Macaca fascicularis: one gene and its partner. The protein of the gene in region 2 purifies or fractionates together with the protein of the main gene of each other region. This does not show direct contact. Links are inferred from orthologs where the notes say so. Each region holds a gene or a part of one and is shown on either strand. Other genes may lie near its edges.

What was found. Proteins that work in one complex are often made in the same cells at the same time.
Region 1: the proteins of GRB2 (region 2) and ARHGEF5 purify together in Homo sapiens (affinity purification with mass spectrometry; 4 studies listed by BioGRID and IntAct, with this or other methods). This does not show direct contact. The link is inferred for Macaca fascicularis from reciprocal best matches to the Homo sapiens genes GRB2 and ARHGEF5.

Annotation. Positions count from the first base shown.
Region 1 is NC_088377.1:186,018,510-186,023,885, reverse strand, and holds part of ARHGEF5 (rho guanine nucleotide exchange factor 5), read right to left. Parts: intron 5,124-5,376; coding exon 4,963-5,123; intron 4,405-4,962; coding exon 4,252-4,404; intron 3,985-4,251; coding exon 3,855-3,984; intron 3,601-3,854; coding exon 3,526-3,600; intron 3,081-3,525; coding exon 2,991-3,080; intron 1,530-2,990; coding exon 1,372-1,529; intron 748-1,371; coding exon 586-747; intron 1-585. UniProt on the Homo sapiens protein: Guanine nucleotide exchange factor which activates Rho GTPases. Strongly activates RHOA. Also strongly activates RHOB, weakly activates RHOC and RHOG and shows no effect on RHOD, RHOV, RHOQ or RAC1.
Region 2 is NC_088390.1:81,805,745-81,811,650, forward strand, and holds the start of GRB2 (growth factor receptor-bound protein 2), read right to left. Parts: upstream 3,960-5,906; 5' UTR 3,764-3,959; intron 1-3,763. UniProt on the Homo sapiens protein: Non-enzymatic adapter protein that plays a pivotal role in precisely regulated signaling cascades from cell surface receptors to cellular responses, including signaling transduction and gene expression.

The DNA of each region.
Region 1 (5,376 bases), on a different chromosome or scaffold from region 2:
GCAGGCACTGTGTTCCAGATTTTATAGGTCCTATTAATACTCTCAAAAGTGTATGTCTGTGTGAATGCATTTTATTTTATTATTATTGAAAACATGAGCAAATAAGCATTCTCAACACTATGGATCTCTGGTCAACAGAGGACTGGGTTGGAAGATGGGAGCACAGAAAGCGAAAGTCACCCGGCACTTGTCTTATTCACATCTGTGCGCACCAGCTGGGGCATAGAAGGGCTTCTGCCTCAGGCATGGAGGCAGGTGCCCACAGATATCAGTATTCCAATCCCTTGCTCACTCCATACCAGTCCTTCTCCTTTCTGATACCACACAGACCTGGTCCTTCTTGAGTAAAGAGTGTAAAATAGATGCTAGGCCTCGGTGGTGACTTTGTACCCTCTCCCACCGCAATCTCCTGCAAGTTATCCATTAGTTCCAGGCGTTTGGATTTCTCTATGGTGGTCCCCAGTCCAGAATGGGTTAAACGAGGCCGTGGCTGTTTTCTGGACACATTTTCTGTCTTGGTGCCACTTCTTTTCTAGGCTGCCCATCTTCCCCCATCCCCAACTCCTCTGCCCAGCCCCGTCTCACTGAGTCTCCGTGCTGAAGAGGAACTCGGCCTGGGCGCCCTGAGTGCTCTGCCGCAGAAAGAGTCGGAACAGGTTTTTGTGAGGTCCATGTAGCTTCATTTCACACTTCTCCCCCCGAATGGAGGAGAAGGGAGCATGGTCAAATACCAGGAATCGGCTACCCCTGCAAAATACAAATCCTTTCAACCTGATTCTAGAGTTTCCATACTTCACCTACCCTCATAACCTTGGATTCAAAATTCCTGCATCTGCAGCCTGCAAATTCCCATAAAAACCACAAGATGGTCCTAACTTGCTCCCAAGATGGTAGCTCCAGGGTCCTCAGGGCTTTGTCACTAGTCTGGCAAACCACACACCTAGTGCAATGGATACATTACCACTTTAAAGAGGTGAAGAGGTAGAATTAATATACATTTCCCAAGAACCTTAAGACCAGAGACTTAAGATCTGGAATTAGCTAAGTATCTGTAGAATAGTAGGTTGAGCCTAGTCCAAAGAAGCCACAAATAGACTGATATGAGAACGTGATAAGCTAATTTGCTACATTTTGCTCTGTGTCTATAACACAGTACATGTCCTGCCATGTGGTCTCATGACATAGTTTGATGGGATCCCCTTTTTGCTTTGGGCTTGTTTTTCTCTTCTCTAGGCTATGACCTGGGCTCTATGGGTTAAGCCATTGACAAGGGCTCTTCTAGGAACATGACCTGTCTCTCTCCCTTTCCGACCTCCTCTTGCCTCATCCCCTTCCTCTCTTGTGCCCTGGCCCGCCACTCCAGTCACTGACTCTCGGGGCCGAGACAGCAGCAGACAGTCATTGAAGAGGTGAAGGTGGACTGGACGTGTGTTCAGCTTCCTTCGCAGCCCTGGGGAAACACTGAACTCCAAGGCTGTCAGCTCCCCACTCTTCACCAGCCAGCGTGACTGAGAAATGAGCGGGAATATCTACAGGGCAGAGGAAGAGAGAGAAGGCAGTGTCACATATGGGAGAAGCATGAGGTTTGCTCCTGGTCCCACCCTCCTCCCCATGACACTTCCATGCAAGTTCCACCTCGAACAAGCATCTCTTCCACATCTGCCTTCTGGCTCATAACCCATCACTTAGATTCTCTTTCTCTCTGAACCCTCTAACTACCACTGTCCACTGGTGTGTGGATCCCATGGTTGTATGCTCAGGCAAACAGAAGATGCCTATGGTCCCACTCAGGATAGTGAGTGTGTGGGACAGCTCTGCCCTAGAAGCCTGAACCGAAGGAGGGATGGAAGAGTCCAATCAGGGTATGTGATGGAACAAGTCAGTGAACACTGTATGTGTCTTAGAGGTTAAAATATCAGAGGCAGGTCTGGTATCAATTCCATTTTTTATTATACCAGAGATATGTGAGCAGTTGGAATCAAACGTGGGGGTGAGAAGAAGAACCAGGTGGGGCGTCTTGGAGCTGGAATTTGGTTATAGATGAGGGTGTGGTCTATGCTTAGTATGTGAATAAGGGATTTTCTTTCTTTTTCAGGAGTGTAAAGATAGTATCTGTTCTAACCACGGGTGTGGTGGCTCACGCCTATAATCCCAGCACTTTGGAAGGCAGAGATGGGTGGATCACTTGAGGCCACGAGTTGGAGATCAGCTTGTCCACTATGGTGAAACCCCATCTCTACTAAAAATACAAAAATCAGCCAGACATGGTAGTGCAGACCTGGAATCCCAGCTACTCGGGAGGCCGAGGCATGAGAATCGCTTGAACCTTGGAGGTGGAGGTTGCAGTGAGCTGATCGCACCCCTGCACTCTAGCCTGGAGCGACAGAGTGAGACTCTGTCAAAAAAAAAAAAAAAAAAGAAAAAAAAAAAAGATGATATCTGTTCTAAGTTGGAATTCGAATGTGGAATGTCTATTTTAGATTTGTATTTCAATGAAGGATGTTGGTCCTAAATTTGGATCCAATCTTATGTAGGTTTGATTAGACTAGAAAGAGATTTGATAAAGTAATAAATGACTCAAGCACCAAAACATTGTTTTATAAAGGCTCATCATGAAAAGTTCTCTCTTATCTGCCCATTTCTCAAATGCACCCCCTTGTCCTCAGGTAACCACTATTCCTTTTTTTCTTATTCTCCTTCCAGAGTTTCCGTATGTACACACAAGCAGATACCTGTATGTATTTGTATCCTCCCACTTTTATACCAAAGGTGATATAATACACACACTTTTCTTTACCTTCTCTTTTCACTTAGCAATATGTCTTGGAGACCGAAGTAGGCCTCCCAGAAATAGGACAGAACAGAAGTTGGGCAGAAATGAGGGGAGGGGCTGGGGATAATGTGAGCAAGGTGGTTCCAGGTTAGGGGTCATCTGCAGGACATGTTGAGGGAGTTCATGGGCAGGGATGGCATGCATGGGACCGACTCACTTTGCACTCAAACTCAATCTTCTGGCTTAGGTAGATTAGCTCCTCTGTCTGTCGCATACTCTGGACATTGTTATTGCAGTCCCGGATCAGCTAGGGGTGCATAGAGTGAGGAAAGGGGAAGGGCACCGTGTTAGAGGCTTTGACCTTTGAGTCCCCTGCAAGCAATCTGGAAATAGGTTATGACAGCCTCGGTCATTTCTCACAGGCTGGAATTGGGCAGGCAGTATCAAGCACAAGTCCTGGGCAACTTTGCATGACCCGGAAGAACATTCTTGGACTGAGTAAAAATGAGATTGAATGTGGGAGCGATGGTGGAGAGGGCACAGTCCCTTGATGTGGAGCGTGCTCAGCGTGGGACAGGTGGCCGTGGGGTGTGTATGTTTGGAAGTTTGGTGGATGCAGGGAGGTGGCTGAGCTCTCCCAACAGGGTCCCACCTCCCATGCTCCCTGGAGTCACGGGCCTAGGCGGGGAAGACCTCTCTGGGAAGAACACACAGAGGGTCGGAGGGTCAGATTGGAGGTGGTGGCTGCCTACCTGCTCCAGGGCATGGTGCGCCTTCGTGGCCTCTGCCTCCTCCGAGGAGCCAGGCTGTGTTCTCTTCAGAATGTTCTATTGAACAGACAGTGGGCAGGAGTGATAGGGGAAGAAGAAACGGGAAACAGGAAGAAATGATTGGGGGCTGGTGAATGGAGAAGCCCAGGGACCCCATTTCAGCAGCAAACATTTCTAAGCAACCAGGCAGTGGGTAGCAGGGAGACAGGATGTGGAGATCTGGCAGAAGAATGGTTGGTCCTTTGTTATGGGTCTTCCTGAGGGCATCCCTTTGAGTTAAGGGGAGAGGATCAAGGTAGCATCTGCCCTACCTGGAGCAGCAGTTTGAGGCGGGTGATGCGTTGGAAGGGCAGAATCAGAAAAGACTTGAGGGAAAGGCGCTGGCAGACGGGGTCGCTCTCCAGCTTCTCCAAGACCTCTCGGAAATTGCTGTTGCTATTCCTGCATGGAGAGCGAGCCTTAGGGGAGGGGGGATGTGGGGACCAATGGGGATGCAGTGAAGGTGCGGGGAAGGGAGCTCAGTGGAATATCTGTGGGTTGGGAAAGAGCAGTGGGAGCTGATGTACAGGGCGCTCAGATGTGATGGTTGGGGGAACCAACACGGAGGGCGGGATGGGGAAGTGTGCTCTTGGGATAGCCCGCTGGGCTGGAGACTGGTGCATGGTCACTGCAGGCCTACATGGGGATTGAATGGAGGATGAGTCTCACATCAGGCTCTGGAAGGTGCGTTCCTGATAGGTCTGGTTGGTGACATAAGGCAGGTAGACCCGGCGGAAGTCTGGGGCATGGTTCAGGACTACATCACATACTTGGAAGGAGAAGATATTGTTCTCAAAGTTCTCTTCCAGGTCTGAAAGGAACCTGTACAGGATTTAAACAAGTCTCATGAGACTTCTGGGCCTCAGTTAAGCAGTTGACTGGCCCCTGATGTACACTGAGCTGGTGACTTCTTCACTCCATTAGCCAATAACTTCTATTGACTCTCCTTTGCTCTGTGCACCTTGCTATGCACTAGAATTCTCTCCAAAACTGTCCTGAGTTTGAGCCTAATTTAACACTTGTATTCTAATATTCCATTTCTCATTCTTCTTTTGACCCTGTTCAGGTTTTCTGATCTTTAGATGGTTTTTCCACCTCATCTTCAATGTAGTGCATGACCACAGTCATCCAAAACCTCAACCCAGGAAGCATTGCTCATTTACTTCTCCGTTAATGGATCTATCCACCCACAGGCCCTCTCCTCTTCTTGCTATTCTTTTTCCTACAGCCATCAGGAATCATGGAAGAAACTGAGGCCCAATTTCATCCCATCTCATAAGAAAATGAAAGGGTTTCTAACAGGGGAAAAAACAGTGGAACATTTAAAGCCTCACAACAGCGAGGCTGAGTGAGTGGGATTTGAGAGAAGGGGGGTCTCACGTGGCGCTGACGTCTCGCACATCCTGTAAACGAGAGAAGAGCCATTGGTGCTCCTGGTTGGAAAGTGTGGCCCGGAGTGAGGTTGAAAGTTGGAAATGATCCACAGCTATGTTTAGACTGCGCAGATAGGAGGCCTCTGACACGATCAGCTCAAATTTGACCTAGGAGGTTGGAGATGAGGAAGATTAACTAAGAATTTTATTTACCCCCTGGAATATGCCAGCCACTGTGTAATGTTTTAGGGGTAGAGCGGTGGGCAAGATCCTTTTATGGTTCACAGTCACACCAGAACCTTAGTTGATCTGCGGGGAGAGGGGAAGAGCATTTGAGTAGGATTTAATCTAGGGTTGAAGCACAGGTACAGTCCTTCAAAGGTGTAAGAAAACTATGCTTTCCAGAAATCTAAATAACACA
Region 2 (5,906 bases):
GTACTAAGAATGCTAAAAAATTTACACATGTAAAAATGAATCATGGTTATAGTCACTCATTCCATTAGGCTATTCTAAATACTCACTTTGTGTACACACAGAAAAATGTAATTTTAGCTTGAATAACTTAAAACCACACAGCGGTCTTATTATTTATGGCTACATTCGGTAACAACAGTTTTGATCCTTAGACCATCTGTATCAAAATCTGCCCATTCAGAGACTGATTCACTGTGGGGTACATCCTGGAGTTCTACCAGAACCTAATTTTAAAAAGATCCCCCAGTGATTTTTATGGATACTAAATTTTACATCATTGCTATACCATAAGGATGCCTTAACCAGATTTTAAAATTTGCATTCCAGATAATGCACTACAATGTCCTTGCATGAAATGAAAATAATGCATACTGGCAGGGTGCGGTGGCTCACACCTGTAATCCCAGCACTTTGGGAGGCTGAGGTGAATGGATCACCTGAGGTCGGGAGTTCGAGACCGGCCTGACCAACATGGAGAAATCCTGTCTCTACTAAAAATACACAATTAGCCAGGCGTGGTGGCTCATGTCTGTAATCCCAGCTACTTGGGAGGCTGAGGCAGGAGAATTGCTTGAACCCAGGAGGCGGAAGTTGCGGCGACCCGAGATCGTGCCATTGCACTCCAGCCTGGGCAACAAGAGCGAGAATCTGTCTCAAAAAAAAAAAAAGAAAGAAAGAAAATAATGCACCGGCGCAGTGGCTCACGCCTGTAATCCTAGCACTTTGGGAGGCCGAGGCGGGTGGATCACGAGGTCAGGAGATCGAGACCATCCTGGCTAACACGGTGAAACCCCGTCTCTACTAAAAATGCAAAAATTAGCCGGGCGTAGGGGCGGGCGCCTGTATTCCCAGCTACTTGGGAGGCTGAGGCAGGAGAATGGCGTGAACCTGGGAGGCGTAGCTTGCAGTAAGCCAAGATGGCGCCACTGCAGTCCAGCCTGGGCGACTGAGCAAGACTCCGTCTCAAAAAAAAAAAAAAAGAAAATAATGCATATTCACTTGGTACCACTAGGAAAAAGGCAACTTTGACCAAAAAAAAAAAAAAAAGAGAGACTTTCAAAAGCCGTTCAGTAATGGTGGACAGTTCCTCTGAATTAAGCAAGTAAGTATTAATTTCTCTCCGGAGGGCATGGTGACTCTCTATTCTGTACCACTTCATTTCTCCAAAATCCATTCCTCTTCTGTTGTATGTGTAATAATTAGAACTCTGATGCACAACATGCGACGTGATAACAGCAATTACTGAGAAGAATCTCTAAGTACCATCAACCAGTAGTATTTAAAACCCAGCAAGCCTCTCAAATCTGAGTAACTTGCTGACGGGGTAAAGTGCCTCAAACATTTAAATGTTTGAGTTATGCAGGGCACAGTGGCTCACGTCTGTAATCCCAAGGCTGAGGTGGGCAGATCACTTGAGGTCAGGAGTTCGAGACCAGCCCGGCCAACATGGTGAAACTCTGTCTGTACCAAAATACAAAAACTAGCCGGGCTTGGTGGCGAGCACCTGTAATCCCAGCTACTCGGGAGGGTGACGCAGGATAATCGCTTGAACCCAGGAGATGGAGGCTGCAGTGAGCCGAAATAGCACCACTGCACTCCAGCCTGGGCGACAGAGCAAGACTCCGTCTCAAAAAAATAAAATTAAGGCCGGGCGCGGTGGCTCAAGCCTGTAATCCCAGCACTTTGGGAGGCCGAGACGGGCGGATCACGAGGTCAGGAGATCGAGACCATCCTGGCTAACACAGTGAAACCCCGTCTCTACTAAAAATACAAAAACTTAGCCGGGCGAGGTGGCAGGCGCCTGTAGTCCCGGCTACTCGGGAGGCTGAGGCAGGAGAATGGCGTGAACCCGGGAGGCGGAGCTTGCAGTGAGCTGAGATCCAGCCACTGCACTCCAGCCTGGGTGACAGAGCGAGACTCCATCTCAAAAAAAAATAAATAAATAAAATAAAATAAAATAAAATAAATAAATAAATAAATAAATGCTTGTGTTTAGTAGGAGAAAGCTGATTATAAGAATTAACTCTGGCCAGGCGCAGTGACCCACGCCTGTACTCCCAACACTTTGGGAGGCCAAGGCAGGTGGATCACCTGAGGTCGGGAGTTCAGGACCAGCCTGGACAACATAGTGAAACCCCCATCTCTACTAAAAATACAAAATTAGCTGGGTGTGGTGGTGAGCGCCTATGATCCCAGCTACTCAGGGGGCTGAGGCAGGACAATCACTTTAACCCAGGTGGTGGAGGTTGCAGTGAGCCGAGATCACACCATTGCACTCCAGCCTAGACAGAGCGAAACTCTGCCTTTAAAAAAAAAAAAAAAAAAAAAAAAAGTCACGTAAGCCCTGAGCCGACCCAATCTTCCTTACTATTATAAAGACATACTAGAAGAAGGCATAAGCAGGCACAAAAGCATAATCTTAAAAGAAAAAGACTAAAAGACAAAAATAACACAAGCAAACCACACTTGTGACCTAGTGGCAGGATTGATTTCTTAGGGATTAATTCAATCTTTTGAGCCTCCCTGTTCTCAGAGAGGGGACTTCAGCCTCCCACAGCTCTCTAGCAACCCTTCTGGCTGACTGCAGGGAACGCGCAAAAGTAAAGGAACGAAAGCAGGAAAGAGAGTCTCTTCCCGAGAAAAAAGATGTAATATTGAAATGAGAGAAAACGAACAGCACGAAAGGGAAGAAACCTCGGAAAATTACGCCAGAGTGGGGACTACAAGGAGGAAGGGGAAGTAGATAAGAGAAAAAAAAAAGGGGGTGATGGGGGGAGGAAGGGACAAATGACTTGCATTACACAAGCATTTCGTGTCCCTATTGGAATGGACAGAAGCAAAGAAGGAAGGACATAACTGGAGAAGTACTAAGTGAAAGAGAGGTAAGAAAGTCAAAAGAGACTAATGCTAATTTCTCTCATGTGTCTGACATTTCTGAAAGTAAACAACATCAAGAGGAGATAGACCTCAAGTGCACTTCAGTCCCCTGCAAACCGCACTTTCATAGCGTTTGAAGCTAGCCTTGAAAAACTTTCTAAACAAGCCATAACTCACATGTGGCTTACAATCACAGAGACGGCACGCTGCAAATGAAAATTACCAGCGCCCGCTCTCGCCGCAATCCTTCCTCGGTGCAGTCCAACCTGCTGCTATTGAATTTTTCTTGACAAACATTTTTCAAATAGTTTTTTTTTTTTTAAGTGTCAGAATAAAGGTATCTCCCCCGGCTCCAGCAGCAAACGTTCTACCCCAAGGTAGATTCCCGCACAAAATTAAGCCCAAAGACGCCAAGAGATGGTGACGTGGTTGCCGTGCAGGTCGAAAGCACATCAATCACCACAGCTGCAACCCACACCAAGTCCCCCGCCACCGGGCTCGGGCGGACTGACTCAGCCGGCGTTCTGCCCGCCTGGGCTTCCCGGGCATCTTCCGTGCAAACCCTCCCGATGAAGGCAGGGGACTTCGCCAGGGAGCCCCGACCTCTTCCCCTGGACTCCCGGACTGCCCAGAGCCGAGAGCCGGAGGAGGACGGTCCCCAGGAAGGAAGCGCCCCAAAAGGGAAAACGTAGAGTCCGGAGCCCCGGGGATTCCGCTCCACGTCCCGAGCCTCGCCGCCCCGACCCGAACCCCGGGGCCGGTCCCGGTTCCCCCGGGGCCCACTCCCGCTGCAGACCGGTGAGGAAGAGGCACCAGAGCCGCGCCGAGCGCAGCCTCCCGCACTCACCGTGGCGCAGCTGCTCCGCTCAGCGTCCGGCCCGCCCCTCCACAACGCTGCGAGCGGCCTGCGACCCAGAGGCTGCTCCGCGAGGGCAGCGCTTGCTCCCGCCGCCGTCACCGCCACAGACACAGGCACAGACACAGCCTCTGACACAGACGCCGCAGCCGCCCGGTCGCCGAAGCACTAGTGCCTCCTCGCTTCCGCTCCCCGTCGGTATCCCGCGAGAACTTCTCCACGAGGCCCCGCCCCGCTCCGCCCCCGCGAGACTTCCCCCAGCGGAAAAGGCCCAGAGCGCAGGCGCTCCTTCTCGGCCGGGCCCCCACAGGTGGGGACAGCTAGCTGCCAGGGCGCATGCGCCAGACCGCCCCGCAGCAGGTGGCCTTGGCACGGCTCCGCCCCCGGGTCGCCGTAACCCTCTCGGTGCCAGAACAGGTAAATGACAACTTGGCCCTGAAGGACTCTTCCCCCGTCTAATCACTTTCTTTTCCTCTTCTACCAAACCGAGGCAGTTGGATGGATAAGGGCTGAGGGGAGGAAGAGATCTTCCAGCATGAAGCGCTCCACATAGAGGACCAGGTCTTGAAGTGTTTGAGAATCCGGTCCGTACAAACTCTGCAGTGTGGAATGATTGGTGAGTTTGTTTGCTCATTGATTGAATCGTGTGCCTAATAGAGACTGAACACTGTGCTGGGTATAGAACAGAAATCTTGGCCCTTAAGGAATTCACTGTCTAGGGAAGTCGAAGAAAAATTAACAAATAATGCCATAAGTACTGTTATAATTATTTGGAGCTGCTGAGGAAGCTAAAAGGATGGAGGAGGGACTGCTACACTGCCCATTGCAGAAGAGCCTTCACAGACGTGATGCGGCGATGTCTGAGCTGAGTCTTGGAGGATGAGTAGGAATTTGCCAGGCAGAGAAGCCAGAGTAAGGGCATTTCAGGGAAAGGGAATGGCACGTAAGTACAGAGGCTAAGTACAGAGGAACGGAGGCGTGAAAGAGAAAGTCGTGTTCTGTGCAGTGCTAAGTAGTTCAATTCCTGTATGAGGCCGGTGAGTACGGGGGAGTGGCAGAAGATGAGGCTTGGAGAAATAATTCTTGTTTTTCAGTTCCCAAAGCTCTTCCAATTAAAGGATAGAACAGAACACACCTAGTGTTAATGTGCCTTCTGGAAGCCAACAAAATAGCGCTGAGATGAGAATAACCAAGCATCTGATTCTATAGAGAAAACAAGCCCATTGAAACACAGAAAATGAATTGTTCTTTCACCAAGTATTTATTGAGCATCATGTGTGTGCAAGGGGCTCTGGAGGGTAAAAGGCCAACCAGATAAAGCCCCTGCTTTCAGTGCTTTGTAATCTGGAGTTGCCTAATCTGTAAGACAGGTAGTTTGGCCCCAAGTGCCACTGAACTACACAGAGATGGCTGAGGAGGGAGCCAGTACTTGGTGATGAACTAATCAAGAAGGATTTGGTTTGAACGGCAAAGTGAAAACGGGGAGGAAAGAGGAAAGAGTAATGGAATCAGTCACTTTTTTTTTTTTTGAGACGGAGTTTCGCTCTTGTTGCCCAGGCTGGAGTGCAATGGCACGCAATCTTGGTTCACTGCAAGCTCCACCTTCTCCCATCTCAGCCTCTCAAGTAACTGAGATTACAGCAGCCCACCACCACACCTGGCTAATTTTTGTATTTTTAGTAGAGACGGGGTTTCGCCATGTTGGCCAGGCTGGTCTACGACTCCTGACCTCAAGTGATCCACCTGCCTCGGCCTCCCAAACTGCTAGGATTACAGGTGTGAACCACCACTCCTGGCCATCAACCAATGTTTTTGATTAGTCTGAGCCCAGGAACTGGGGGGAAGAGTAATGAGAGAGGGGGCCAAAATGCAAAATCTATAGCTCAGGTGTCATAGTCAAGTGATGGGCAACCTCTGAAGGTTTGTGAGCAGGAGATGTCTGATATGAGGTGAAAATAACAAAAGGACCCTCTATTTACCACTTGATGCATACTTAAATCATAGCACCTCCACAGGGTGGGCAATATGCCCATTTTATAGACTTGGAAACTAAGCCTTAGCGAGGTTAGTAATTTACCCAAGGAAACCAAAATATAGTAGACCTAAGATTTGGACTAAGGCCTGTCTTGTTCTA